7 linked regions of the Macaca mulatta genome follow. The protein of the gene in region 6 interacts with the protein of the main gene of each other region in a pairwise test. Links are inferred from orthologs where the notes say so. Each region holds a gene or a part of one and is shown on either strand. Other genes may lie near its edges.

Region 1 (3,909 bases), on a different chromosome or scaffold from region 6:
TTAACGAAGATCTCTTGGCCCTGCCTGCCAGTTTCACTCTGTCTCCCACAACCCCCTCCATGCTCCTTAACATCCAGCTCACTGGCCGTCTCCCCAGTGCTGGAACTCAAAAGGCTTTTGCTCACTTTGATCCTTATGCCTTATATGTCTTCATTCATTTCTACTTTTCAGGCCCAGGTAAGTCACCTGCTCTGAATTCACACACTTCCCTACTAAGAGTTGACTCCCTCCTCAGGGCTCCCACATGATATCCACACACTCTATATCGCAATTCCTTGTTTCCATTTCTGTCCCACACCTTCGTCCCATCCACGTCTCACCTTTATGTTCCTAGTGCCTTGGATAAGATATGAAGCACGTTACATTCCCACTGGTTGACTAAACACACTTCTGCTGCTGAAAAGCAGGGGCTTGGCCCAGAGGATAGCCGAAAAGTTTTTCTCTTCAGAACTGAGTGTTCCGTCAGCTCATCTCCACAGCACCTTCCAGAAATAATTCTCCCTCAGTTAAAGGCTGACCAAGAGCCTTTAACTACAAGCAGTTCAACCCCATTTGATGACACTCAGTGAAGAACATCCATTTCAAAAAGATTGATTTATGATTCTTTTATTAACACACACAGGAGGGGCTTTGGTCATGTGAACAAAAAATTTATTTTTTAAAAAAGGCTTTTTAGGTCTTTGTTTTTCAAGGCAAATTAATACTTACTATACGTTTGACTTTGACCTCCAATCTGACAGGTCTACTACCCTGATGAACTGGAAGAGACTTTCCAGGCCCTGATAATGTCTTTTCCTTTCTCTGGCCTCTTAAAGCTCTTTGTAGACTGTCTCTTCGATGCCATTCTCTGATGCCCCTGTAATGTGTGAGGGTATTACGACAGTTCCTAATCAAACTGCCTTGTCATAAAAGGTCAGCTATGTGGTCTAAATCAACTCACCTGACAGGTTACACAATATATATCAGACAATGTGCCACAAAACATAGCTCTCCTCTTTCATCTCACAGAGGAACTAAAGTTCCAAAATATATACAAAACCACCTTCCATCTCCAACTGTCTTCTCGTTCTTCCCAGCTTTATGCAAAGCAGTCTCATTAATACATTCTTCACCAGGCTCAACCAGGCAGCGTAGTATCTTCCACTGCACCTCTAAAGTTGGAAGATTCTGATCCCAAGTCTTGACGTGTTCCCAAAAACGATCAGGTCACAAAGGTAACAGCAAAATACAAGGCCATGCCCAACATTTCAAAAACACAGCGAAGTAACAAGAGTAAACGTGACCACGAAAACAACTTAATTAAGCCCCATTTCTCTTGTGAAAGTATTTCTTCGACAAAAGTTGTATTTCCAGAACCAAACACATTTGATGATCTAAATCCATATCGAGGTCATCAATCACTGACCATAAGGGAGACTGTTACATGGGGGTAAAAAACATACAAAAACAAAACAGAGAAAATGACAAGCTGTTTCAGTTTCCTCAAGGTGTCAGTTCATCCTTACCAGTCGACTACAGTCCTCAGCTGTGAACCTAAAGCACAATTGGGAGAAATTTACCATGAAGACATTGACTCTCAAAGTTCCATATCTTGATGTTAAAAATAAATGTGAACCACCCAGAAGAATGCCACTTCTTTGAGACACGGTCCTCTGACATACCTGTCTCACAGAACAGTCTGGAAATTTCAGGTAATGGCCTCTGGCTTTACTCTTTTATTTCTTTCCCTGCGTTCTCAGCCTGCGTTCCATTGTGCTCCACAGCCTAGGTCTTCTGTGGCTTTCCCCAAACTCCCTTAGTGCCGAGACAGGTCTACTTCCTGGCGACTGCCCTATTAGAACTGACTTACGTTTCACAAAAACAAACCCGAAGTTACTTTTATTTTTCTCTAATTACCAGTGTGGGAGGGAGAGGCCACAAAAAAACGGTATACTAACACCTAACAAAACCAGCACGCATTCTTTCCTCTTGACCCCAACTTTGTTCCCAATGCTCAATTTTTGATGCGATAAAATGGGGGATGCAGGCCTAGAACATAACTTTTTACAGGGCGCGGTTTAACCATGCTTAGGGCGACTACTGAGTTCCATCCAAGCTCCCGCGAGTTTCCGACCTTACCGCCGATTTCCTCCTTCAAGAAGACTCGCTTCTCTCTATTCGCCAGACGAGCTCGACCAGCATCTCTGCCATCTTCGCAATCTCCTTGGCCTTCTCCTCAGCCTTCTCGCACAACTCCGACACTCTCTCGTCGGCTTCGCCACTCGGGTGCTGCACGTGATTGAGGGCGCTCTCCTCCGAGGCCTCTACCTGCGTTTTGATCTGGATGAGCATATTGTCCATCTCCCACAGCTTGCTCCTGGTTCGCAGGTACGCCCGCCCGTGCTCGCGTATAAGAGACGCGATGTCCTCGCGCATCTCGTTGATGACCGGGAGCAGGAACTGCTCGAAATCCTCCTCCGGCTCCAGCACCTCCACTTCCTCAGGCGCTTCCACCTCGTCTATGTCCAGGGGCCGCATCTCCTCCTGCCGCTTCTTCAGTACCGGAGGGGCGTTCTTCTTACCGGAACCCCCCAGGGACTGGAGATCAGCAGTGATTGCTGGAGGCTGAGCCCACACGCTTTGTCAATAGTACTCCCGAATTATCTTTAATTTTTTTCTTCCTTTTAATTGTAAGCCTTTAGCTTTGGAACTCCGTGGGAAGAATCGCCGTGGATACACACAGCAAAGCGACCTGCGAAATGGAGTCGCAGCCGTCAACTCGCCCTCGGCCTTTTTGCGGCCCTTTCACGACAGAGCCGGGCTCCTTTACGGTCACGCCTTCGGCGAGACCCAGTAGCGGGCGCGCGCACGTAAAGGGGTCTCGGGCGCGCGCATGGCTATGGCCGTCAGCTTCCCGGCGCCCCGCCTCGCCCTCTTCTCTAATTTAGATTGGTGGCGGCAGGTTTGTTCGCGTCTTCCCCTAAAGCTTCCCTTCAGAGGGGTTTTACTTTTATTATTATTTTTTTAAAGTAAAAATGACCCTCCCTTCCGCATATTTGAATAAGACTGGCTGGCGTTCACAGCGCTTACTATCTAAGCATGCAGAAGCTTGGATTAATTTATATGAATTCACTTAGCCCTCACAACGAACCTATAAGAGAAGTAAAAACCGGGCTAAAAGTCGTGATTTGAGCTCAAAGCAATGTGGGTCCACAGTCCCTGCTCAGTGTTCTAGAATGGAACTCGTCCCTCTGTCCTCCCCACCCCTGGCTCATACTTTTGTTCTGGGGGGAATTTCGCTCGCTGCCTTGGGTGGTTCTGGCCCGTGATTTTTGGTCTCTCTTCAGAGTCTGTAAGGTCCTCAAGGTAAAGGGCAACTTCTGTTTCAGTTCTGTCCTCCGCCCTTTCCGTCAGCCTGGCGTCAAGCAGGGCCTTAGAGAATGCTTTAGAGAGAGGAATTGCCTAGTACCTAAGTGCCTCTACCAGACTGGAGGCTGTTTGGGGACAGGTTCTGGTCTTGGTCACCTTTATGTCCCTCCACACACAAGACCTGAAAATGAGCAGGGACCTAGTAAATGTGGCTTTGATCGTCAATACGTTTTGATCACCAACCTAATGCCATTGTGGAATGGAAGAAGTCTATTGCTAGGCTTAGTCACCCAGTGCCACACTAGTAGTAATATGAGTGTGTGTAGAGGGGGGATCCTTCTTACACAAGTGCCACAGATCAGAACTTCAGTTTTCCAGTCTGATAAAGACCAATGGCCCCAGCCTGAATATCTGTCAGTGGGAAGAGGGATTTGTAAGATGACGTGTGCGAAACAGTTTTGCAAACACCAACATTCTAGCAGATGTTCATCAAAAGAACATTAAGAGGGAAAGAGCAAGGCACCGTGAAAAAAGATATTTGACTCATGCAGAATATATTGA
Region 2 (4,325 bases), on a different chromosome or scaffold from region 6:
GGTAAACTGAGGAAGCTATGTGATCCAGAAATAACTTTCCAGGGATCAGCTCAGGCCAGCCACAGCCTGATGGCCCATGTGCCAAGAGGGGTCAACAACTGGGTATGTCTGCAACCCACTCATCATTTACTAGTGCTCTGTGGTCCATCCATTGAGAAGCTAATTAATTTCATAATATCAGATCGTTTCTCAGAATGATCACCCTAGAAACGAGCCGTCAAGTAGGTTTGCAGCAAACCATACTTCATATGGTGCACACTATACTTCTCTCAGGGAGTCAAAACACGTATTAGTAAATGAACATATTAAGGCTCTGAGAAGACCTATTTCCCATTGTTTGTTTTTTTTTTTTCTCCAGTATTTTCCAACCTCTTTTAACCAGGGCACCTAATAACATCTTGCAGATCTAAGGAGGCTGCTGAATCGTTCAACCCTCCATGCAAGCACACAGTACTGTGACTCGAAAAGGGTCAATGCAACAATATAGGTCCTAACTGTCTTTAATTGGAGGATTAGTTCAGACACTGGAAAAACTTTAATCTTTAAGAAGGAATCCTCCTGGAACTTTGTTAACACTAAACTGTTAAATACCATAAACAATATTATTACCCCCAAACAGGCTGCTGAGGAGCCAGGGATGAGTAGATTCTAGCCGTGAGACTCCCAGTCATCTGCAATAATTCATATGCCACTGGCAAGGATAATTCTAAACATGAGATCTAAAAACCCTATGCATACACCGCCCCCTTGCCCTCCCTACCCCAGGAGACTTATCTGTCTTTCTGGTTATATATTCCCTTGGCTGTTAGTGTAATTAGTGCATAATAACTATGTACATATCAACTCACAGGAAAAACGGCAGACGTGCTGGCTGATTTGGCTTGGGGCCATCTCATCGGCAGGGTGAGACAACCTGGTATTAAACCATCTGTTATTAACTGTATATTCTAAAATAGTGTTTTGTGTCTCCTGGGTTGCTGACTCCCATTGACAGCAACAGAATGTCAAGACTCATATTTTTCTGAGCAGCACTGAGGAGATAAACTTTAAAACATTTGCATTGTCCCTTCTGTTCTGCTGCTTGTGCTATTAAGAATTTTATTTACTAAAATGTCCATTGTATTATACACGGTGCTTTTCTATGTTTCATTCTCACGGAGGTGAACAAGTTTCATTTAAACTGTGTCCTTGCGAAAGTTATGCTTTCTAGAGTCAAAGATCCTAGAGAAAATTGGCCATAGCTTTTGTCCCTATGACTAGGCAGTTGCCAATGCCTGTATGAAATCAATAGTCTCACTAGGAAATGGACTATCACTTGCATTTTTTAAAAAGGTGGTCATTTTCTCAAATCTGCTTGTTTGCACTGATTACTTTTCTTTAAATTAACTTAAGTAATTAATTTCATAATATCAGAAATCTGAAATTGAGTCTTTGTGCCACTTGTTGCAGTCAGTAGCACAAACCTGCTCCCCAAACTCAGGATTAAGTTTGTATATGACAGAAAACAACAGCATTCCTTTGAAAGATGAGCAGTCAAATCATTCAACACAATTATCCAAGTTAATTCAACTCAAAAAACCACATCACCACGAAAAAATAAAAATAAAAATTTTTACCTGATTCCAAATCACTTTTGACAGCTACAAAAAATTGACTTTCTTTGCAAAAGTTTTACCTCTGCCCCAGAACTCAGTTGAAACAATTTTTTTCCTTTCCCAGTTGTCTCTTATAGTTGGCTGTTCCCAAATATAACTAAAATTTCCCTGCAAGTCTGTTAAACAATTTCACATTTCCATGTTTAATTACATTCAGATTGAGATTTTTGTACACATAGAGAATATAGCCAGATTTTGACTCAAGTGACCACAATACCTTTGACATAAAGCCTTTATACACCATTCTCGCCATATATAAAAATAGACATACGCTCCTTGTCAAAACACAAGAGCGAGCTTCTTTACATTGTCTAGAACAAAGAGGCCAGCTCGGCTTCTATTTTTCCTAAGTGTCTCAGAAGGTGTCCTTTATTACATATGCAGGACGCAAGGATTTTGCTGCTGTGTGAATGAAAAATGATACCTTCAGACTGCCTTTTTAGTGACAAATTAGGCTTTTGTAGACCATCACACTGCCTGTGGTTTTAAGAACCCCATTTAGATTTACTATCACTTCCTTGGGGACTCAGCCTTCCTCACAAAGCACCCCAAGGCTAATTTCCACTGTTTTAGAGTGTAACAAAGATGAGAAAGTTTGCTCATCACGATAGTATAGAAACGCTTGCCTAGGAAAAACACTCTCTGGAATGTCTAAAGTGCTAAAAATCATTCCCTCTGTGGATTCTTGGTGTGCAAAACAGGCAGAAAAAGTTGTCTGGAGGTATTCGCAAAGCATTGTATTTGTTCAGGAAGGAGTTGTGGGGTTAGAGGCTGAGCAACGCCTTTTACTTTGCTTCCTGGGTGAGAGCAGACAGGCGTGCCACTTAGCAGAAGCAAGCAGAGAGAGAGTGGTAAGACTCACCGGCTTCCCCATTTTTCCCAGGACAGGGGTTTTTGTTCCTCAGTTGTGATCTGGAAGAGACAAACCTGTAGGTCCTCCAAGCAGGCTGGTCTGGGGCAAGTGCCGGCTCTTTGCCTCGGATCAGCTGAATGGCTGGGGCGTTCAGGAAGCTTGCTCTGTCCAGCTCAGAATCACTCCCCCTCTCCAGGGTGTGTGCTTACACGCCTCTCAGTCAGCGCGAAAATCCGCCAAACTCAGGTCAGTCTAACAGGTTTCCTTATATAGGTAAACATGAATTGCATTCCTGGTGAAAGAAGTTAACTAGGAATCCTGGTAACCTGGTTAACTCTACACACGCCAGAATGGCTCAGAGTCGGTCAGCCTGCGTAGGGGTTTGGTTGCAGTACAAAAGGATTTATGCAATTTAATTAAAATCATCTTTATCCTGGCAGTCTGTAAAATTGGCCCTTGTAGTGTAACTGTGAGTCAACAGCTAGTATTTTATATCATGGGCTGTGACCAGCCTTATATTATCTGAAGGCATTGTAGGGGAAAAAAGTGTAGCATTTTATAAGTTGTCTTTCATGTTTTTAAAACCAGAGTAATTGAACTTGAGATTATTTTCAAAGAAGTAAATAGAACATGTGACAGAAAGAGAATGTGAATAAACCTCCATCAAGTAAGGCTCAAATGCCTTATTTGAGCATAGTAACGAACACTTATTCAACTTTCCCAGGCCTTTGGTAGATAATGCAAAACAATCATTTTGAGTTTTCTCCCTTTACAATGCAGTAATCACTACTGTATTTTTTGATGGGCAAAATGATAGATAATGACATCTATTCCAGTAACAACCCTCCTAAGCCCGCATGCTGATGTGTTATTTGATGGTTTCAGGAAAGAAATCTAAGACTTGTGAATTTGCATACTTGGATGTAAACATTTTTAAACAACTTCCTCGATTTAAGAAGACAAGAAAATATATCTTTAAAAGAACTCTATAGCTCTTCCCCTTACATTTTATCTACCACCTAGTAAAGTAATAATTTTAAAAAATTCTAGCCAATTCCACTGAAGACAATATAGAGACTTGAGACTTTCCTATGTACTAGAGATGAAGATTGTCTGCTAAAAAGGACCTATCTCAAAACAAAACACTTGTTTTTGTTTCATCCATGGGTTGACTGCTCGTTGAGTAGTGGCAACATTATTAAAAATAGCTCAAGGCTGTTTTAGGTCTCTGCTTAAGACAAGCGAGAAAATGAATCTTCAGATGCCACCTAAGTGAGCACCAACACAAACCAATGTCAAAGAGCTTCTGCTGAGATGAGTAAGGAACAAAAATTGCACTGCCAGGAAGGATAACTATTTTTGGATAGCAATTTCCACTGGGCAAAGACTTTTGCATACAATTTCTCTTCTTATCTCTGTAGGAACACTGTGAAGTGTGTAGTATTTCCTCTTCACAATAATAAATTTGGCTTACAGAGATAAAGTGATTGGTCCAAAGTCTCATGATCAGTTTTTGGCAAATCCAAAACCCCAGATAAAGAATTTAACTCCAATAGCATTTCCCAAAATAGAATCAACTTTAAGAGACAGAAGAACATTAAAATGGCAATTTTCCATGTTCAAATATAATTTTTAATAATCATATGTCCAGAGAATTTAAATGCAATATACAAACTTATTAAAATACTTTTTATAAAGTCATAACTTACTGCTAACATGACTCCCTTTAAATGTCTCCAGAAAGATCATAAAATGAGATAGAGAGTGTATTTTTATTGAATATAAATTTGGGTTATAAAATATTATGAAAATATAAC
Region 3 (4,134 bases), on a different chromosome or scaffold from region 6:
TCTTCACATGTACGAATAAGAGATACTCCCAGGTAGAAAATACTCCCCATTGAGGAATGAGTCTGATCTATTTGAAGAATACAGTAATTTGGCATTCTTTCTTCCTTTGACCTGGCTTATATTATATTCACTTATTTAAACATGGAAGCCTATTTAATGCATACTCATCTAATTTCATACGAATTATAGCAAGTGAAATTTCAATGGGTCTCCTGAGATACTGGGTGCATCTTATTAAGAGAATCAGACTCTTCTAATTAAAAATGGTCATTTCTCTAGACAATCTCCTCTAGTCAAAGACTCCATTTCTTCACCAGTGTATCCATGAAAATCTGCAATTCACTTAAAGAGGACATTTTACTTTCATAACTCATTGAAAATATGTCACAGATTTTGGGACAGTCAACTTACAGACCATATCATGATGACATTCTCTTACCTCCTGCAAAAACTTTTCACTCATTTGACCGAAAGGATGTCCTGGGGGCTTGATTCCAGACACCATCAATCCTGAACTGAAGACCCTTGGCTTCTGCAGGTCCGGCTTGAATTTCTCATAGAGGTTGGCAGACGGCTTCAGGTCACCACTCACAGCCTTCTCTTCATGGGGAAGAGGCATGGTACATGTGGGCGGGGCGTATGGAAGCCCCACTGGAAGCAGCGAGGCGTCCACCTGGCCCAGGGCCTGGGGACTCCTCCTGATGTAGGTGATGATCTTGGGCCTCACATGCTTGGGCTTGGGCATAATGACGGGCTTGGTTTCTGTCCTCTCCTCTGTTTTTTCAACCTGATGGTTCTCCGTTCCCTCCTGCGAGGAAGGTGTGTCCTTGGAATGTGTGAAGACAGGCTTGGGGATCCCACTGGGGCAGGCGTTCTTGTCAGGCACTTTGGGGGATGTGTTCGACAAGCGTGCACTATCAGCAGGGGGTGGTACCGCCAAGGGGGACACTGCATCCATACCGAACACGCTAACATCCTGAAAACGGCTACTGGGTGTTGTAGGCTGGTGGGTCATGTTCACAGTTGTCTCTGGGAGGAGGGGTGCTGGAATATTGAGAACTGAATCTACTCTTGCTGAGGTGCGTTCAATCTTATCTGCATTCTCTAGAAGGTTCCTGCTTTCAGCAACAGACGTGGTGATCTCTCTGCTTTCCCGTGCTTCTGAGCTGCCACTTTGAGGTTCCAGGGGCTCAGGCACCTCTGTCTGGCTCTCTCCAACGGAAGGATTGAACACCAGAACTGTAACACTGTCCTTGTCCACTGTGGGTTGCTCACTGCCCAACTGCCTTTCCTCCTCAATGACATCCAAGGGTTTGCTGTCAGTCAGATTAGTAGGAATAAAAGCCACATGACCATCACCTGGTGAAAAGCTGCCGGATGTCCTTTCACCCAACTTCCCACCTGCACATGGTGAAATGTTGCCAGTGGGCTGACTATCAGCCCCTCCTAAGGAAGCAGAGGCCTGTTTGGGGGTGGCGTGGAGAGAATCCGGCTTCCCTGGGTTGACTCCTCTCTTCTCTTCACTGTTGCCTCTTCCCACCCCAAGGTGGTGGAGGTCACTGTTTGGCAGAGAGCCAAGTGCATCGGTGGTTTCTGGGTGCGCCTCCCCACACAGATCCTTTCCCTCCAAGGCTGAAAGATTCTCTTCCCTGTGGCATCCCAGATACCCTTCCTGGGCTGCCTTTCCCTCCTGTTCAACCCTCCTGGGTGAAACATATTTCAGCTCCAGCTTGGCCTCTGCCTTTCCTTGACCTAACTGTGCTTCTGGCTTACTCGGGATTTCCCTCGATGTCAAAGTCAGATTCAGAGCAGGCTCTGGATGGGCGGAACGTGGTATGTGCTCACTGCACACCCGCAGTACATGTGCTCCCACTGTCTGGGTCTCTGAGGGGGTGCTCTGCTTGGTCTCTGAGGTAGATGGTTTAGGATGACGCACACTCTTTCCCTCTGAGGTACTGTCAGTTGGAGGGAACGCTGCCGGGAGAGCGCAGTCTGGCAATGTCTTCTGTGGCCCCTCCCCACCCCCAGGCACCTGACCCCGTGCTTCCTGGGAGTCAAGGGGTGCAGGCTGTGGATGCTGCGGAGTCAGGCTCCCGACTACAGCTACAGAGCTGCTTGCTCTTTCCAAAGAATGCCTCCTCAGTTCCTCATTGTTGAGGGTCTTTGCCAATTTATCCTTGGGAACGTGCCGGGGAATTTCAGCATCCCTTTTAGCCAAAACGTCTAGACTGGCCTCACCCATCACATTTCTCCAACTCGACAGACTCGGTCCCTGGATACTCCGCGGGGTCTGCGGGCTATCTGCGCCTCTCTCCATTGTGTGCTCCTCATTGAGTTCCCTCTGAATGGTTGAAGAAAGTCTAAAATCTTTCAGGCTGGTGGAGCCAGGCTGAGATCCCTTCTCAAAGCTCTGAAGTTGGTGAAATTCCTTATGGAAATGGGTACGGTTTTCTGGCTCACTTGAATTTGTATTTCCAATTTCATCTTCCAGGTCACATGTCTTGGACTCATCATGAGAGGAGCTGACCTCCAACGTGATTTGATTGGCATTTGTATCTCCCAGACTTAGGATGCTCTCATTATTATTTCTTGCTGCATTTCTGTTGTCCCGCAGCTGAGTGTAACATGATTTCTTAGGAGCCACTGGGACGCTCATTGTCAACCCTTTGGTGGGGCTGCTTGCCATGCAGTCCTACTTAATGGAAATGGGCTGCCTTCAAGCTGCAATCAGATTAATAGGAAATTCTCAGGCTGCTTGTCCTCCCCTGACAATGTCAGCTTGTGACACTGCTTTAATCATTCTCAGAAGAGCTTGAAAAGCAAGCATTCTCTTGATATACAGCAGGAACTAGGTTCCGGCTGAATGAGAGCCAATTAGTCCGTGAGACCTAGAGAGAAATAAAAATACATTCACATTAGATGGACAAATAGAACTTCTCAGGAGGAAAAAAGTGGTAAACACAGATTTATTCGTCATTTCTATACTATTATTTCATTCACTCGATAGTTTTCTCAAAAACCTTTCTGATCAGGGCTCCTGCTGACCAAATACGGACAGAAATTAAACATCAGAATGTTTAATGTTAGAAATGGATTATAAATGCATGTGAAATCTTAAATCCAAATTTTAAACATCCACAAGTCTATACTGATACTGATTTAAAAGGGTGAAGGAGAAGTAAAGGCTCTTCTTTACAGAAGAGCATCAACGAATGTAGAAAAAAATTTACAGAATTTGAAAAATCACTATTTTGCAATCTCTGCATTAATAATTATCTTGCACAAGGGATGCCAAAGGTACAAACATTGGGTAAAAGATTGTTGGGGAACAAGATATTTATAGATGCTTAAAGTATCTTTCCCCCAGCTACTTTATTTCTTACAAAAAGAAAATTTGATCTTTACAATGGAGAGATCTGGTAGACACCACATTAACCACGTGATCAAATTTAACATCACTGGTATCGAAACTGACATGACGGACTCCTGATATTAGTTAGTTCTCAGGGCCACACATCACCTATGCAGTAATGTTCAACCAGAATTTAACCATGAGAAAATAACCTGGCGAATTTAAATTGAGGTATGTATTACAAAATAACTGGCCTAACTGGTCCCAAAAAAAAAGTCAGCAGAGGCTGGATTTTCAAAATATGTTAGCAAAGGATATTATTAGGACAATGAGAGATGTAAATATGGACTGTATATAAGGTACAGGTATGTCATAATTAATTTCCTTGGGTGTATAATCGTGCTATAATTATGCCAGAGATCATCTTTGTTCTTGAAATATCCATGCTTTAGAATTCAGGGGTAGTATGTCATGATTTCTCTAACTTATTCTCAAATGATTCAACCAAGAAAAACATGTGTATGTATGTGTGTGTGCATATGAGAAGGAGACATATGTGTGCAAAAGAGAGAAAGAAACTGGCAAAAGTCAACCATTTGAATATCTAGTTAAGAATTTTACTACATCTGCAGCTTTTCTATAAGTTTGAAATTTTCCAAAATAAAAACTTGGGGGAAACGCTTCATTCCGGCCTTCGCGGCCTGCATGATCAGGCCCTGAACACCTTTCTGGCCTCATCCCCACCTCACCATCTGCTCTGCAGGCTGCTGCCACATTGGCCT
Region 4 (3,588 bases), on a different chromosome or scaffold from region 6:
TTCAATGTGACTGAAGCTTAGAGTAGGTGGCAGAAGAGATCAGTCTCTTCTTAATGCTCCATTTTCCCCTCAAACTTTCATTCCATCATCAAAATGACTCTGGAAGTTTCTGTAGTTTGTCTTCATCTATTAAACTGAGAGCAGTAGCCAAATCTTTTGTCTTCCCAACGCCCAGAAAAGTGTGTGACTCACAGAGGTGCTTAATAACTATTTTCTGAATATTAAGTCTTTATAAAAGACTTCATAAAAGACTGCTTAAATCAGGGCTATATGTACTGTTTCTTACACTTGTTAGTAAGCATCTTAATTCACAAATTATACTTTCTATTTATTTTAAATCCTCTTGATTCCCACCTCTCAATGTTTGCCTTATAGCAGGGACTCAACACTGGTGGAATAATATCTTAAATTTATATAAACAAATTTCAGAGTTCTATGAGCCCAGTTTTCATTGAAATCATGTAAACTCACCTGAAGCAATTGCTCCTTGTGACTCAGACTATGGTTGAGGTGCTGGATGTTTTGTTCCTGGGTTCGAATCTCATTGTATTTTTCAGCCTCCCGGGCACGAAGCTGTTGGCTCTTGTTCTGCAATTCTTCTTGTAGCTGCTGCAAGGCTTTCCGCAATTCCTGAATTAAACATATTAAGAGATCTAAAATTGTCACATGGTTATATATAGAGGCCTTAAAATTTTCAAGGTATATAAACTGAAAGAGCGGTAGAGGATGCCATTATTAAAACTGCTATAGAAGTATTATACATGAATTGAATGGGAAATGGAAAATTGTAAAAGTTGTGAATGGGTAGGACGTAAGCTTGATAATTATAGTTCAATACTTATTTTTTGGCTTAAAAAGGATACATGTGTAGAACCATTAAATGAGAATCTGTCCTATGGTAAACCTAGATTATTTACAGTAAGCTCAAGGATAAACTATTCCTATCATCCTTTTTTCTAAAGATCTCATAGAGACCATCACTCTTCTTTCTTAGCTTGCCATATTTATCTTTCTGATAAGAAAGTCAGTAATCTTTAAATCATCTGTTACTTTAGAGAGCTCCCAAAATACATATTCTCATCAACCAAACAAATCTTGGGAAAATGTTTCCTTTAGCCAAATAACAAAAAGTTAAGAATTATTTCTACCCCCATCCTCCACCACTCCCTGACCCTGCCCAGACATCTGAAATTTTAATTTTTTTTTTGAAATGGAGTCTTACTCTGTCGCCCATGCTGAAGTACAGTGGTACAATCTCGGCTCACTGCAACCTCCGGCTTCCAGATTCAAGCATTTCTCTGCCTCAGTCTCCCGAAGTAGCTGGGATTACAGATGCCCGCCACCACGCCTGGCTAATTTTTGTAATTTTACTAGAGATGGGGTTTCACCATCTTGGTTAGGCTGGTCTTGAACTCCTGACCTCATGATCCACTGGCCTCGGCCTCCCAAAGTACTGGGATTACAGGTGTGAGCCACTGTGCCCAGCCGAAATTTTAATATTTCAAAAGGAAATTCAGGGCTAATATTTAATCTCCAAACCACTAAACCAGGGAGATCCTTCAAAAATTACACTTTTAAACTTGAGTGTTAAAGAGCTTAAGAAAAGAGACCACGAAAAAAAAAATCTTTTAAATCTTAAACATATACGCTCTAAGCTAACAAGATAAAGGAACCATTTAAGAATTGTGCATTTTGGCCCAGCGTGGTGGCTCATGCCTGTAATCTCAGCACTTTGGGAGGCCAAGGTGGGCAGATCACCTGAGGTTGGGAGTTTGAGACCAGCCTGACCAACATGGAGAAACCCTGTCTCTATTAAAAATATAAAATTAGCCAGGCATGGTGGTGCATACCTGTAATCCCAGCTACTGGGAGGCTGAGGCAGGAGAATCGCTTGAACCCGGGAGGTGGAGGTTGTGGTGAGCCAAGATTGCACCATTGCACTCCAGCTTGGGCAACAAGAGTGAAACTCCGTCTCAAAAAAAAAAAAAAAAGGCCGGGCATGGTGGGTCACGCCTGTAATCCCAACACTTTGGGAAGCCGAGGCAGGTGGATCACAAGGTCAGGAGATCACAACCATCCTGGCTAACATGGTGAAATCCCATCTCTACTAAAAATTAAAAAAAAAAATTAGCTGGGTGTGGTGGCAGGTGGCTGTAGTCCCAGCTACTCAGAAGGCGGAGGCAGGAGAATGGCGTGAACCCGGGAGGTGGAGCTTGCAGTGAGCCAAGATAGTACCACTGCACTCCAGCCTGGGTGACAGAGTGAGACTCTGTCTCAAAAAAAAAAAAAAAAGAAAGAAAAGAATTGTATATTTTATTATTCAAAAATAAAAAATAAAAGACAGGGCTGATTATTATGCATGTCATTCCTCTGACCTTAGTGATTCGTCCCCACTTTTCTGACTGGTTTTAACCATCCTTCAAGAATAACCTCAGATGTCTCCTCCTTCATGAAGCTTTCCTTGATTCCTTTTCCTTGACTCCTTTCCTAGATATTCCTGTAGGACTCCATATATACATCCCCTTCAGAATTTACCACTCTGAAACTCAGCTTATGCGACTGTCTCTCTTACTGAACTATAAGTAACTTAAAAGAAAGGAGCCTGTGCTATTCATCCTTGTATTTCCAGGGCACAACTCAATATGGTAATCACCCCTCAACCCACAGGGGATACATTCTAGGACGCCCAGTGGATGCCGGAAACCAGATAGCACTGAAGCCTGTATATAACTGTTTTTTCCTGTACATAGATAACTATGATAAAGGTTTACTTACAAATTAGACATACTAACAGATTAAGAATAACAATAAAATAGAAGAATTACAACAACATGCTGTAACAAAAGTTACGTAAGGGAGGCCAAGGCAGGCAGATCACGAGGTCAGGAGATCGAGACCATCCTGACTAACATGATGAAAACCCGTCTCTACTAAAAATACAAAAACAAAATTAGCCGGGCGTGGTGGCAGGCGCCCGTAGTCCCAGCTACTCGGGAGGCTGAAGTGGGAGAATGGCATGAACCCAGGAGGCGGAGCTTGCAGTGAGCAGAGATCACATCACTGCACTCCAGCCTGGGAGACAGAGTGAGATTCTGTCTCAAAAAAAAAAGTTATGTGAATGTGGTCTCTCTTGAAATATCTTAATGCTTTTTGTCTGTGGTTGACCCCAGATAACTGAAACCATGGAAGGTGAAACTGTGGATAAAGGGGGACTACTCTAACTAGCATATGGTACAAGGGCAGCAAGTGTCGAACTGAAATACTTAGATTATGCAAGTGATTCAAGGGTTCAACACAAACTATCCTGCTAAAAAGTTATTATCAGGGCAAAGTCAGCATTTAGGGCAATAAAATAGTTAATGATTTACCTGGTTATGTTTCCAAGAAGCCTCTTTCTGCTGTTCACTCTCGTGTGCTGCAGCCTCTACAAACTGCACACATTGTTTGGCATCAGCCAGTTGGCGCTCTTTCTGTCGTACCACCCTCTGGAGCTTCTGTATTTCCAGCTGGCTGCAGAATAAAGCACTCTGAAGATCAAGCAGAGCCACCTGTTGCTGAGCTGGGGAAGTACCCTCTGAGCTCTGAAAA
Region 5 (4,193 bases), on a different chromosome or scaffold from region 6:
AGGCTGGAGTGCAGTGGTGCGATCTCGGCTCACTGCAAGCTCCGCCTCCCGGGTTCCCGCCATTCTCCTGCCTCAGCCTCCCGAGTAGCTGGGACTACAGGCGCCCACCACCTTGCCTGGCTACTTTTTTGTATTTTTAGTAGAGACGGGGTTTCACTGTGTTAGCCAGTATGGTCTCAATCTCCTGACCTCGTGATCCGCCCGCCTCGGCCTCCCAAAGTGCTGGGATTACAGGCTTGAGCCACCGCGCCCGGCTGCTTTGCCTGAATTTCTAAGTGGGTTCTCTGTATACGCCTTGTTGTACCACAATTATATGTATAAGCAGTTACAGGTGCTTTGGGGAATGAGTTAGGGAATAAAACTCCCAAACAAAACACAAACATCTCTGGGTAGCATTTGATTCCTATCCCCAGACCAAAGCAAAAATGCGGACCCAACAAAGCCAGATTGCAATCCTCGAGTCCCAAGACGCAGAGGCCCTTGCCATGGGAGCCCAACCCTCTCCTCCAGGAAGAGCCAACGCATTAAAAATAAATGGGGTTTTTATTGTGTGTCCACGAAAACAAAGGGTGGCCTTTGGTTAATCCCCCCCAACAAGATGACAAAAAGGAGGCATGCATGACAACAAGAACCATGTTCTCCTCTGACTGAGCGAGGCCTTGCCCTCCTGGACCCTAAGGGTTACAGGCAAGCAGGGCCAGGAGGCTGCCGAGGAAAGCACACTCAGGCCCCCATGGAGGGCCTGAATCTGCTGCCTCCCTGGTGGGACAAGGCAGGGGGAGCAAGCACTACTCTGGGCTAGGCCCAGCGCCCCCCAAGCAAGAACACATAAAAGCCCCTGCCCCTGCCCCTGCCCCCACCCCCACCCCCACCCCCACTGCTAAGGCAGTCAGCCAGGACTTCCCCAGAAGACCTGGCTCTGAAGCCCAGACCCTCATGGCTCCCTCTGGAAAGGGTTGCCTTCCTCAGCCTGCATGAAGTAGTAAATGAAAAAGAGGACGATCACAAAGACCAGGAAAAGCAGCAGCTGGCCCCAGAGTGGGACCTGGTGATCCTGGCCCAGCCCAGCCCCAGGAGCATGGTTTTCAGGCCGGATGGCACGGCGGGTGAGCCATGAAGAGGAAGATGATGAGGAGGACATAGAAGAGGTGGAGGAGGAAGTAGGATAATAGGACAGGTCCAGGGAGCTCCTGGAGGCTGAAACAGGGCGGTAGTGCGCGATGCTCTGGTAGGCACTGTCCCGGCCGTACATGGGGCGTTCCCTGAGGCAAAAGAGGGGAACAGGTGGGCCAGGAGCCTGGGTCCAGAACCAGCCCCTGTCCCTGGCCTTCCCCATACATACATACCTATCCTTGCACTCCTCTTCAGAAGACGACAAAAGGTCGTCATCACGTACCTGTAGAAGAGAGTCAAGGTGAGGGAACTGGCTGGCAGGGCCACAATGGCCCTGCCACGTCCCTCTCAAATTTCCCCAGCAGGTCCCCTCTGACCTTTGGTTAAAGGCCAGGGACCCACACCCTCCTGAATGACTCTGGGTGTTCGGCCTTTTATCCATGGGGCCTTGCTACTTGTGCTCATGCCCCAGCACCCCCCTTTGCCCCCAGGACTCTCAGGAAGAGCTGGAGCCTAGATCCCAGACCAGGGTGCAGGACGCATCCTATGTGCTCTAGTCACATAGTTCTGAGGGCTCCCCAAAGTAGGACCCTGACCAAACAGGTGTCTGCTGAGCCAAAGTCTCCCCAGAGGCCCAAGGGCCACCATTTGTACCCAGTGGCCCCCTGGATTTATCCAAACACAGCCGCGATCCCCTAGGTTGTACCCAAGTACAGTACGCCTGCCAACCAGCTCACCTGGTGGTGGAAAGTGTCAGCATCTGGGAGTGAAGTCACAGACTGGCGGAAGCCCCTGGACGGGCCCGCAGACTCGGGCTCCCCATAAGTCCTGGTAGTGAAGTAGCTCTCTTCATAGTAGTCGTCATTGTAGCCTTGGGAAGGGGGGCAGCGGTAGCAGAGGGGGCATCGGTGTGCCCCGCCTGGCCCGATGGCCCTAATCTGAATCCCATTTCGGGACCTGTGACAGTTTCTCCCTCCTAAGGCTGCTGGAGTGGTTGGGACTGAGGTCTCAGGTCCTCCCTGTGAGCGGGGTCCCTGACGCAGTCGGGTGAAGGTGCCAGCGTGCCCACCCAACCCCTGCCTTACCCTTGCTCTGGTAGAGTAAGGCGTCCTCTTTCTTGGGAAGATCATACATATCTGAATCCCCTGACGTCGAATTCAAGTCTGGATTGAAAGGAGGAGACAGAACTGTTTGCCCCCCCACCCCCACCCCCACCCCAAGACTTCCCTCCCCTTTCCCCAGTGCCGCTCTCGACCGGCACCCCTGCCACACCCTCGCTACCTCATCCTCCCCGCGTCCCAGGCCGTCCCCACAGGCGAGGCTCTCACCAGAGAAGCGATAAGAGGAGGCAGCGGACGAGCCGGGGGGCGAGAGCCGCCGCCTCTGGGTCTCATACTCGAAGATCTTCTGCTCGTAAAGCCTACGAGTTGATCCTGGCCGGACACGGGGCGGTCAGGGCCGCGGTCCGGGGAAGGGGCGCGGGGAGGGCAGCGGGGAGGTCGCGGGGCGGAGCACGAGGAGGGGGCCCGGAAGGGGTCCCGCCCGCCGCCGCGTACCTACTACAGGCCCGTGCGGGATGTTGTACCGGCGCAGCAAGGCGGTCAGCTCGGTATTTGAAAGATCTGCGTAGTCGTCCATGGCGGGTGCGGGCTCGGGCGGAGGCCTGGCGGCGGCCCGGGCCTACCAAAACCGGCCGAGCAACGGCTGCCTAGGAGCACGGCGGGGGCGGCACGAGTGCATCGGGAGCGGCCGCACTCGCGTCACAGCCGAATCGCTGTCGCGTCACGGCCGCTGGCTTCGCAGGCTGCGCGCGCTGCGCTGGGCGGGACCTAACGGCGGGAGTAGCCGGCACAGACCGGCCGGGCCTTGAGAGCTGGGAGGCTGGGGCCGCGAGCCCAAACGTCATCAACTCACGGATTGGCTAGCGGCAGAGGGGGCGGGCCCCCGGGAGTCAGGGTGGTGGGAACCGGTCTCGCGGTGGGAGCGGGCGGGGCCGCAAGCCCATATGTCACAAACACGGGAATTGGCTAGTGATGGAGGGGGCGGGGCCCGCGCAGGCGCGGAGCAAAAGGTCTTGCGTTGGGAGCGAGCGGAGCGGAGAGCCCTTACGTCACAAACATGGGGATTGGCTAGCGATGGAGGAGGCGGGGCCCGCGCGGGCGCGGGGCAGAAGGTCTCGCGGTGGGAGCAAGCCGCGCCGCGAGGGGCGCCACACGTCACTAACGCACGGATTGGCTAGCGGCGTAGGCGGCGGGGCCCGCGCGGGAGTCAGGGCAATGCAAACTGGTATCGCAGTGGGAGTAGGCGGGGCTGCGGGCCCAAAAGTCACAAACGCATAGATTGGCTAGCGGCAGGGGGCGGGGCCCGCGCGGGAGTCAGGGCGACACGGCTGGGAGCCAAGACGTCACCCTGTGGCGCGCTTGAGCCAGCCGGGTGAGAGGGATGGGGCCTGCGCGCTAGGGACCCGGGACGTGCGAGCGGGCGAAGTCGGCGCTTGGGGTGGCTCTGGTCCCTAAGTCACTTGGACTTCGCCCGGTCCCTGCACATCCCTGCTCCCCGCCGTCGCCCCCCTTTCCTGGGCCCCAGAGCCTAGGGTTTCCCGGCCGCATCCCGGTCGGCCGCCCCGGCAGCGGACCCTAAGAGAGCGCGGGCCCGGGGCCAGGCACTGCCGGGGGCGCTTTGTGTGCGCATTGCTCGGGAAGCGGCTGCGGGGCAAGGCCCGCGCCTATGGGATCTCCGCAGACCCCCTGCCACGGGCCCTTCTTCCCAGTCTGCAGGGCTCTCGCCCGCGCACATGTGCCTGCTGCTTCCCACCGCCTACCTCTCTGCTTCCCTTCCTCCTCCCTCACTCTACCCGGGAGGAAATGGGGCACTGGGCCAGGAGGCCGCTGGCACTCCAGAAGCAAGCAGCCTTCGAAGGGGCCCGGGCATGCCGACGGGCACGCCAGTGGGCGCGGGCAGAGGGCGCCGTGCGATGCGTACAGAGACAACGTGTGCCCGCCTAATCCTTCATGCCGTTCATTCACCCGGGGCACTGGGGGGAGCTGCAGCGGGGCGTCCTCTCCTGTCGGAATAGTCCC
Region 6 (4,096 bases):
GCCTGTAATCCCAGTACTTTGGGAGGCCGGGGCGGGTGGATCACCTGAGGTCAGGAGTTCGAGGCCAGGTTGGCCAACATGGCAAAACCCCCATCTCTACTAAAAATACAAAAAAAAAATATTAGCTGGGCGTGGTGGCAGGCGCCTGTAATCCCACCTACTTACGAGGCTGAGGCAGGAGAATCACTTGAACCCAGGAGGTGGAGGAGTCGAGATCACAGCATTGCACTCCAGCCTAGGCAATGGAGCGAGACTCTGTCTCAAAAAAAAAAAAAAAAAAAAAAAAAAAAAAAGTACTATGAAAAAAGATAGGGCAGAAATATTGGAAGTATGGAGATGGAGTAGAGTGCTGCAATCGTAAATGGAGTAGATAGGCCTCTCTGAGAAAGTAACCCTACAAGTGTATGAGAACAAACTATCCCAGAGAGAAGGAACAACCAGGCCAAACGCTCTAATTTCCCATGTTTAAGGCACAACGAAGCCTGTATAGGTGGAGTGGAATGCGCAGAGGAAAGCAGTGGAAGAAGTCAGACTGGTAAAGGAGGCAGATCATAAAGCGCATTGTAGACCACTGTAATCCCCTACCTGTGGAGTGCTTTGTAGAGAGTATGAGATATGGCAGGGTGCAGTAGCTCACACCTGTAATCTCAGCACTTTGGGAGGCCAAGGAAGAGAGGATCACTTGAGCCCAGGAGTTTGAAACCAACCTGGGCACCACTGTGAGACCTCATCTCTACAAATAATTAAAGAATTAGTGGCTGGGTGAGGTGGCTCACATCTGTAACCCCAGCATTTTGGGAGGCTGAGGTGGGCGGATCACTTGAGGTCAAGAGTTCAAGACCAGCCTGGCCAATATGGTGAAACCCCATCTCTACTGAAAATACAAAAATCAGCTGGATGTGATGGCTCATGCCTGTAATCTTCGCTACTAAGGAGGCTGAGGCAGAAGAACTGCTTGGTCCTAGGTGGCAGAGGTTGCAGTGAGTTGAGATCGTGCCACTGCACTACAGCCTGGGCCGTCTCAAAAAAGAACAACAACAACAAAAAAAAGAATTAGTTGGACATGCTGGCACACACCTGTGGTCCCAGCTATGTGGGAGGCTGAGGTGGGAAAGATAGCTGGAGCCCAGGAGATTGAGGCTGTAGTGAGCTATGATTGTGCCACTGCACTCTAGCCTGGGTGACAGAGTGAGAGACTCTATCTCAAAAAAAAAAAAAAGAAAAAGAAAAAAAGGAGAATATGAGATACTAACGAGGAGGCTACTGTGATAATCCAGGTGAGAGATTGTGGTGGCTTCAACAGGATGGTGTTCCAAAGCGGTGAAAAGTGGTCTGATTTTGAATATACTTTGAAGGCAGAGTCATCAGAATTTTCTTACAGATCAGATGTGGGGAGGGAGAGACAGAGAGAGGAGATGGGGCGGGGGAGAGAGGGAGAGACGGGGAGAGAGAAATACAGGAGTCTAAAGTTTGTCTTGAGCAAATGAAAGAATACGCTACTGACGGGGAAGACAATGGTGAGAGAAGCAGGTTTGGAGAGGTCAAGATTTCTGTTTTGTACATGTTAAATTTGAGCTGTCAGATTTTAAATTGGAGTTGCCAAATAGGCAGTTGAATATAAGAATATGGATTTCATGGAAGAGGTCAGGGCTAGACTATAAAGTTAGGAGTAGTCACCCAAGAGATGGTATTTAAACCACGAAACTTGCCAGCACCAGAGAATATTTGAAGAGGTCAGAGGACTGAGGATAAGAGGTTGCAATAGGAGTCAGTCAAGGATACTGAGAAGTGAGGTGGCAGTAAAACAGGAGTGTTGATGTCTTAAAACCCAAGTAAGGATACTGTGGCCAGGAGGCCACTATTCAATTGCGTCAAATATTGCTTTAGATGAGATCTGGAAAACGGATGAAGCATCTCAGAGGTCAACACTCCCTCCCTAGCGAGAAAATATCAAACGTCTTTCATCTCTCTCCCTCTTTGGCTGCTAAACAATGTGTTTTCTGCTCATAACACTTCCCATTCGTTTTTCAGTTCTCAACTTAAAAGGTCCTGCTGCAATCGGAGAAGCTTCTCAAGACCAATGCTATTGTTACCAGGGAAGCGACACTTTATCATAGAAAAATATTATTCTAAGAGTCTACTTAATTGACTCTCTACTGGGCTTGACTGTAAGGTCCTTAAGTCAGACGTGCCTATGTTGTTTACTTCTGTACCCAAACATTCGATAGAACTCCGAGCATAGTACAAAGCTCGTAGTGGGTATCCCATATATATTTACAAAACCAATGGATAAATGCTAGGGTGGAGCGAGCGATTACTGTTGGCCTAACTTAGGGGATGTGTAGAAGGGAGTGCCTAAAACTAGGAGTGGACGCGGAGGGCTCTGAACAGGGTTCAGTTTCCCATTCCATTACTTTTGCAAGTGTAATACGGACCCTTTGTTGACTCGAAGCAATTCCCCTGCCAGACACTTTTTAGCTGTCCACCCCGCCCCACTACTGGCCACTGTCTTCCTCGGATCTCATCCCAGACACTCACCCAGCCGCGTGGTGCGTTCCCGCGACGCCGCGGGCTTGTCCCCAGTCCCATGCTCGGCCTCGAGCTCCTCCTGTTGCTGCCGTGCTTGCTGCAAAATCCGCCGGCTCAGCCGGGGTCCCACATACTCTTCCTCCGTTTCTCCGGTCCTGCGACCCCGCCGCTTCTCCCGGACCCCTGCCCGCACCGCATTCCCAGCCAGGATCTGATCGGCCAGGGGCGCATGTTTTTCCTGACCCCCGACCCCACGGGCCGCCTTCAACTTGGGCATTTTTCTCGAAAACGTTGCCGCGGAGGTTCGCACGTGGGGACGGCGAAAAAGCCAGATTGCGCTTGCGCGGTGGACTCCCGGCTCTCAAGAGGCCACGCGGCGATCACAGCGCCCCCTAGCATTCGGAGGCCAGAAGCACCATCAGCGCCGCCCCTCCCACTAAAAGAGCTCCCGGGTTCCGGAGCTGGACTCCCCAATATATTCACAGCCTTTAACGTTAGCTTCTCTCAACAGTGCAGTCTTTGAGTGTCGCTCTTAGCTTCATGGGTCTAGGCCTAGAGTGCTCAGCCAAACGAGAATGTCTGGATTTAGAAACCTGTGGGCGGGAATCCGCAGATGATGTCACTGGAGGTGTCACCGAGTGGCCCTGAGACCCGCCCCACTCCTTGGGGAAGGCGTGGACCCGGCGCTCTGTTTTTACGTATTTCCGGAGTCTCTTCCGAGACCGAAGGTTGTGTTGGGGAACTGAAGCAGTTTCTGTGGGCGGATAGGGAACCCTGCGTTTCTACCGTGTGATCCGGCCGCCTTCCTGGCCCGACGCCATGGGAGTGACTTGGTAGGACTGCAGGGGGTTTTGTGGGGCGGAGCTTGGAGTTGTGAAGGGCCGAAAAGAGGACCTTGACCGTGGTCCGCCGTCCCCTGGGAGCTGTCCTCGGGTTGTGTGGATGAGAGGATGCCGTGCGAGCCGCGGGTTCCCCGGCCTTGTTTCCTCGGAGATGCGCCCCTTCCTCTTGGAAGGCGGGAAAGCAAAGCGAAGTTTTTTTTTTTTTTTTTTTTTCTTTAAGACGGAGTCTCGCTCTGTCGCCAGGCTGGAGTGCAGTGGTGCGATCTTGGCTCACTGCACCCTCCGCCTCTTGGGTTCAAGCGATTCTCCTGCCTCAGCCTTCCGAGTAGCTGGGACTACAGGCGCCCACCACCACGCCCGGCTATTTTTTGTATTTTTAGTAGAAATGGGATTTCACCATATTGGCCAGGCTGGTGTCGACAAAGCAAAGTTTTTTTTTGTTTTTTTTTTTGTTTGTTTGTTTGTTTTTGAGACGGAGTCTCGCTCTGTCACCCAGGCTGGAGTGCAGTGGCCGGATCTCAGCTCACTGCAAGCTCCGCCTCCCGGGTTCACGCCATTCTCTTGCCTCAGCCTCCCGAGTAGCTGGGACTACAGGCGCCTGCCACCTCGCCCGGGTAAGTTTTTTGTATTTTTAGTAGAGACGGGGTTTCACTGTGTTAGCCAGGATGGTCTCGATCTCCTGACCTCGTGATCCGCCCGTCTCGGCCTCCCAAAGTGCTGGGATT
Region 7 (3,588 bases), on a different chromosome or scaffold from region 6:
TAGTGCTTCAGAGGCCAGACATACACGGTAGGCTGGCCCATGGTAGTACTTCTACATCTCCACAACTGGGCAATGTAAAGAACCTAGGAGACTCTTATATTTTTCAGAGCTTACTTGATAGACTGTGCTACAACCATCCTGTCACTGCTTAGGAGACCAGAACATCTTTTCTTCTTAGCTTTGTAATACTCTTTTATTCTGAAGCAAAAATGTATTAGATTGGGTGTGCTTTTTACCATAGATTACTTTATAAATGTGCCTTGTTGCTGGAGCATTGGTTAATAAAGATATCATTATGCTGTTATTTGCTGACTTTTTTTTTTTTTCAAATTCTAGTGGCACTGATGGTAAAACATTCATTTAACATGAAATTTATTGCTATGAATTACTATAATAGTAACTGCCTTCCTACCAATTGAAAGGTTAAAGATACCAATATGTGAAGTCTGAGCCTTAAGTGGAGAATGCCAAGTGAAGTACTAAAATAAGTTAGAAAAAGAAGGAACTTCTTGTACTTCTTTCTGTTCTCTAGAGCTATGCTATCTAGTATGGTAGCCTCTAGCTGCATGTGGTTATTGATCACTTGAAAGGTGGCTAGTCCTGATTGAGATGCGTTATAAGTGTAAAATATACACTGGATTTAAAAGACTTTGTATGGAAAAAATTAAAATATTGCTTTTATATTGAAATGATAATATTTTGGATATATTGGGTTAAATAAAATATACTATTACAGTTAATATCACATGTTTCTTTTCACTTTCCATACTATGGCCCTAGACAACTTAAAATTCCTGTGGCTCACATTACATTTCTTTTGAACAGCATTGTTCTGAAGGACCAAGCACTGTGCCATACACATATGGATTGAGTATCCCTTATCCACAATGCTTGGGCCTAGAAGTGTTTTAAGAATTTTTTCAGACTTTGGAGTATTTGCAGAATATATGCCATTTGAGCATCCCTGATCCAAAAATCCGAAATTCAAAACGCTCGAATGAGCATTTCTTTTGAGTGTCATGTTGTTGCTCAAAGTTTCAGATTTTAGAGCATTTCAGATTTTTAGATTAGGGATTCTCAACCTGTAGTAGATGTTCAGTAAATATTTGTCAGTTGATCAGTTTAGAGCTCTAAACTTTCAGTAGCCTTGCCCATTGTGCACAGTTTAAAATCAATTAGGGCACCACAACTAGGCCAAGAAAACTGAGTATTATAATGTAGAATAAATTTGGGGAACCTTTCACATTGAAAACTTGCCTAGAGATACATGTTATAACATGGATAAATCTCAAAAACATTATGCTAAGTGAGAGAAGCCATTCATCAAAGACTACTTATTGTATAATTCCATTTATGCAAAATGCCCAGAATAGGCAAATCCTTAGAAATATAATGTAGTTTAGAGATCAACCCTAGGAACTGCAGGGAAGGGAAAATGGGGAAGGAGGGACTGTGACTGGGTCTGAGATTTCTTTTTGGAGTAATGGATATGTTCTGAAATTAGATAGTGCTGATGTTTGTACATGTGTGAAAATATTAAAACTACTGAATTGTATACTTAATGAGGGTAAATTTTATGGTATATGAATTACATCTCAATAAAGCTGTTATATAACATACTCAAAACCAAAATACAAAGGCAAGTTTATTCTTTGTGTATCAATAATTCAAAATAATGAAATAATATGGAACAATAATAAATAACATAAAATTACTTAGAGCACCCAGATTCAGAATAATCAGTGTATAATGTTTTCTGTAAAGCCTGTGTTTACCTGGAGAAACCTAATTTTAACTGACTTGTTCTAAATTGGTAATAGTGTTTTTATTAAACAATACTGATGGTTATATATATATAATTTAACCTGTGTAATTTTTTATTAATTTTATAAAACATATATAAAACTTATAATTTTGTTATGTTCTATTATGTTACTATTGAAATTATTTAAATCAATAATACCATATAGTTTCTTTTGTTATAAAGGATTTGTATAAGTCCTTGAAAACACTATCTGCAGAACTGGTACCTTGGCATAATTTGAAGAAGCAGGATGAAAATGAAGGTATCAAAGTTGAAGATTTGTTGTTTATAGTAGATACTATGTTGGAAGAAGTTGAAAATAAGGAAAAGGTAATACTTACATAAATGGTCACATTCTAATGTTCTCTTATCTCAAAAATTGATAATTTGATGTGGATATTAATATTTGTTCTACTAGAGTTCTGTTTGTCTTTTAAAAGTTTTTATTTGGGATTATTTTAAGATATGAACTCTTTATTTTTTACCTCTCTTTTGGACAGGACAGCAATATGCCAAACTTTCAAACTTTGCAAGCTATTGTCTCTCACTTCCAAAAGTTATTTGATGTGCCTTCTTTAAATGGAGTCTATCCCCGAATGAATGAAGTTTATACTAGGCTTGGAGAAATGAACAATGCTGTGAGAAACCTCCAAGAACTCTTAGAATTAGGTGATGACCTAGTTTGTCATTTTTGGCCCCCATTTAAGAATTTTTAGTAAATTAACAAAAAGTAGATAATTTTTTTTTTTTTTTTTTTTTTTTTTTTTTGATACGGAGTTTCACTCTTTTTGCCCAGGCTGGAGTGCAATGGCATAATCTCGGCTCACCGCAACCTCCGCCTCCCGGGTTCAAGCGATTCTCCTGCCTCAGCCTCCCGAGTAGCTAGGATTACAGGCACATGCCACCATGCCTGGCTAATTTTGTATTTTTAGTAGAGACGGGGTTTCTCCGTGTTGGTCAGGCTGGTCTTGAACTCCCGACCTCAGGTGATCCACCCATCTCAGCCTCGCAAAGTGCTGGGATTACAGGCGTGAGCCACCGCACCTGGCCGATAAAAAAATTTTTAAGTGAAAAAAATTGAGGATAACTGAAGCATAAAATGTTTGATGTATGTAATTTTGAAAATTCTCTGTTAAAATAGCCTTTTATTTCTCTTTTGCAGATAGTTCATCTTCATTGTGTGTGCTGGTAAGCACTGTTGGAAAACTCTGTAGGCTGATTAATGAAGATGTGAATGAGCAGATTATGCAGGTATTAGGACCTGAAGACCTCCAGAGGTATTTGTTTTAAAAGTTTACAAAGTATCATCCAGAATGGCCGGGCGTGGTGGCACACGCCTGTAGTCCCAGCGACTTGGGAGGCTGATGTGGGAGGATCACTTGAGCCCAGGAGTTTAAGTCCAGTCTGAGCAATGCAGTGAGACCCTGTCTCTAAACAATAAAAATAAAAATAAATATTATCCAGAATTCATGGAGGGGTGAAATTAAAGACTTTTAAAACTTATTTACCTTCCCTGTTTGGAATAGCATCTTTTCTGTGTGTATGTGACTATAGGCACACACCACCACGCCCAGCTAATTTGTGTGTGTGTGTGTGTGTGTGTGTGTATAGAGAGAGAGAGACAAGGTTGCACCATGTTGCCCAGACCAGTCTCAAACTCCTGGGCTCAAGTGATCCACCTGCCTTGGCCTCCCAAAGTGCTGGGATTACAGGTGTGAGCTACCGTGCCCAGCCTTGGAATAGCATCTTTTAAGTAACTTGACAATCTAAGATAATCTCAAACC

What was found.
Region 1: the proteins of BYSL (region 6) and MRFAP1L1 interact in binary tests that used the Homo sapiens proteins (3 or more experiments, as listed by UniProt). The two-hybrid records come from large-scale screens. The link is inferred for Macaca mulatta from reciprocal best matches to the Homo sapiens genes BYSL and MRFAP1L1.
Region 2: the proteins of BYSL (region 6) and MID1 interact in binary tests that used the Homo sapiens proteins (3 or more experiments, as listed by UniProt). The two-hybrid records come from large-scale screens. The link is inferred for Macaca mulatta from reciprocal best matches to the Homo sapiens genes BYSL and MID1.
Region 3: the proteins of BYSL (region 6) and MTUS2 interact in binary tests that used the Homo sapiens proteins (3 or more experiments, as listed by UniProt). The two-hybrid records come from large-scale screens. The link is inferred for Macaca mulatta from reciprocal best matches to the Homo sapiens genes BYSL and MTUS2.
Region 4: the proteins of BYSL (region 6) and myomegalin interact in binary tests that used the Homo sapiens proteins (3 or more experiments, as listed by UniProt). The two-hybrid records come from large-scale screens. The link is inferred for Macaca mulatta from reciprocal best matches to the Homo sapiens genes BYSL and PDE4DIP.
Region 5: the proteins of BYSL (region 6) and EMD interact in binary tests that used the Homo sapiens proteins (3 or more experiments, as listed by UniProt). The two-hybrid records come from large-scale screens. The link is inferred for Macaca mulatta from reciprocal best matches to the Homo sapiens genes BYSL and EMD.
Region 7: the proteins of BYSL (region 6) and CEP70 interact in binary tests that used the Homo sapiens proteins (3 or more experiments, as listed by UniProt). The link is inferred for Macaca mulatta from reciprocal best matches to the Homo sapiens genes BYSL and CEP70.

What each region holds. Positions count from the first base shown.
Region 1 is NC_133410.1:6,327,599-6,331,507, reverse strand, and holds MRFAP1L1 (MORF4 family-associated protein 1-like 1), read right to left. Parts: upstream 2,768-3,909; 5' UTR 2,518-2,767; coding exon 2,134-2,517; 3' UTR 583-2,133; downstream 1-582.
Region 2 is NC_133426.1:10,388,112-10,392,436, forward strand, and holds the start of MID1 (E3 ubiquitin-protein ligase Midline-1), read right to left. Parts: upstream 2,847-4,325; 5' UTR 2,518-2,846; intron 1-2,517. UniProt on the Homo sapiens protein: Has E3 ubiquitin ligase activity towards IGBP1, promoting its monoubiquitination, which results in deprotection of the catalytic subunit of protein phosphatase PP2A, and its subsequent degradation by polyubiquitination.
Region 3 is NC_133422.1:8,972,054-8,976,187, reverse strand, and holds the start of MTUS2 (microtubule-associated tumor suppressor candidate 2), read right to left. Parts: upstream 2,889-4,134; 5' UTR 2,687-2,888; coding exon 440-2,686; intron 1-439. UniProt on the Homo sapiens protein: Binds microtubules. Together with MAPRE1 may target the microtubule depolymerase KIF2C to the plus-end of microtubules. May regulate the dynamics of microtubules at their growing distal tip.
Region 4 is NC_133406.1:119,938,533-119,942,120, forward strand, and holds part of myomegalin, read right to left. Parts: intron 3,582-3,588; coding exon 3,369-3,581; intron 631-3,368; coding exon 472-630; intron 1-471. UniProt on the Homo sapiens protein: Functions as an anchor sequestering components of the cAMP-dependent pathway to Golgi and/or centrosomes.
Region 5 is NC_133426.1:160,532,469-160,536,661, forward strand, and holds EMD (emerin), read right to left. Parts: upstream 2,850-4,193; 5' UTR 2,752-2,849; coding exon 2,670-2,751; intron 2,547-2,669; coding exon 2,442-2,546; intron 2,277-2,441; coding exon 2,199-2,276; intron 1,985-2,198; coding exon 1,851-1,984; intron 1,397-1,850; coding exon 1,347-1,396; intron 1,263-1,346; coding exon 935-1,262; 3' UTR 528-934; downstream 1-527. UniProt on the Homo sapiens protein: Stabilizes and promotes the formation of a nuclear actin cortical network. Stimulates actin polymerization in vitro by binding and stabilizing the pointed end of growing filaments. Inhibits beta-catenin activity by preventing its accumulation in the nucleus.
Region 6 is NC_133409.1:140,250,651-140,254,746, forward strand, and holds the start of BYSL (bystin), read right to left. Parts: upstream 2,871-4,096; 5' UTR 2,807-2,870; coding exon 2,539-2,806; intron 1-2,538. Other genes in the region: MED20 (mediator of RNA polymerase II transcription subunit 20), read left to right, coding at 3,349-3,362. UniProt on the Homo sapiens protein: Required for processing of 20S pre-rRNA precursor and biogenesis of 40S ribosomal subunits. May be required for trophinin-dependent regulation of cell adhesion during implantation of human embryos.
Region 7 is NC_133407.1:41,502,764-41,506,351, reverse strand, and holds part of CEP70 (centrosomal protein of 70 kDa), read left to right. Parts: intron 1-1,987; coding exon 1,988-2,134; intron 2,135-2,304; coding exon 2,305-2,473; intron 2,474-2,966; coding exon 2,967-3,081; intron 3,082-3,588.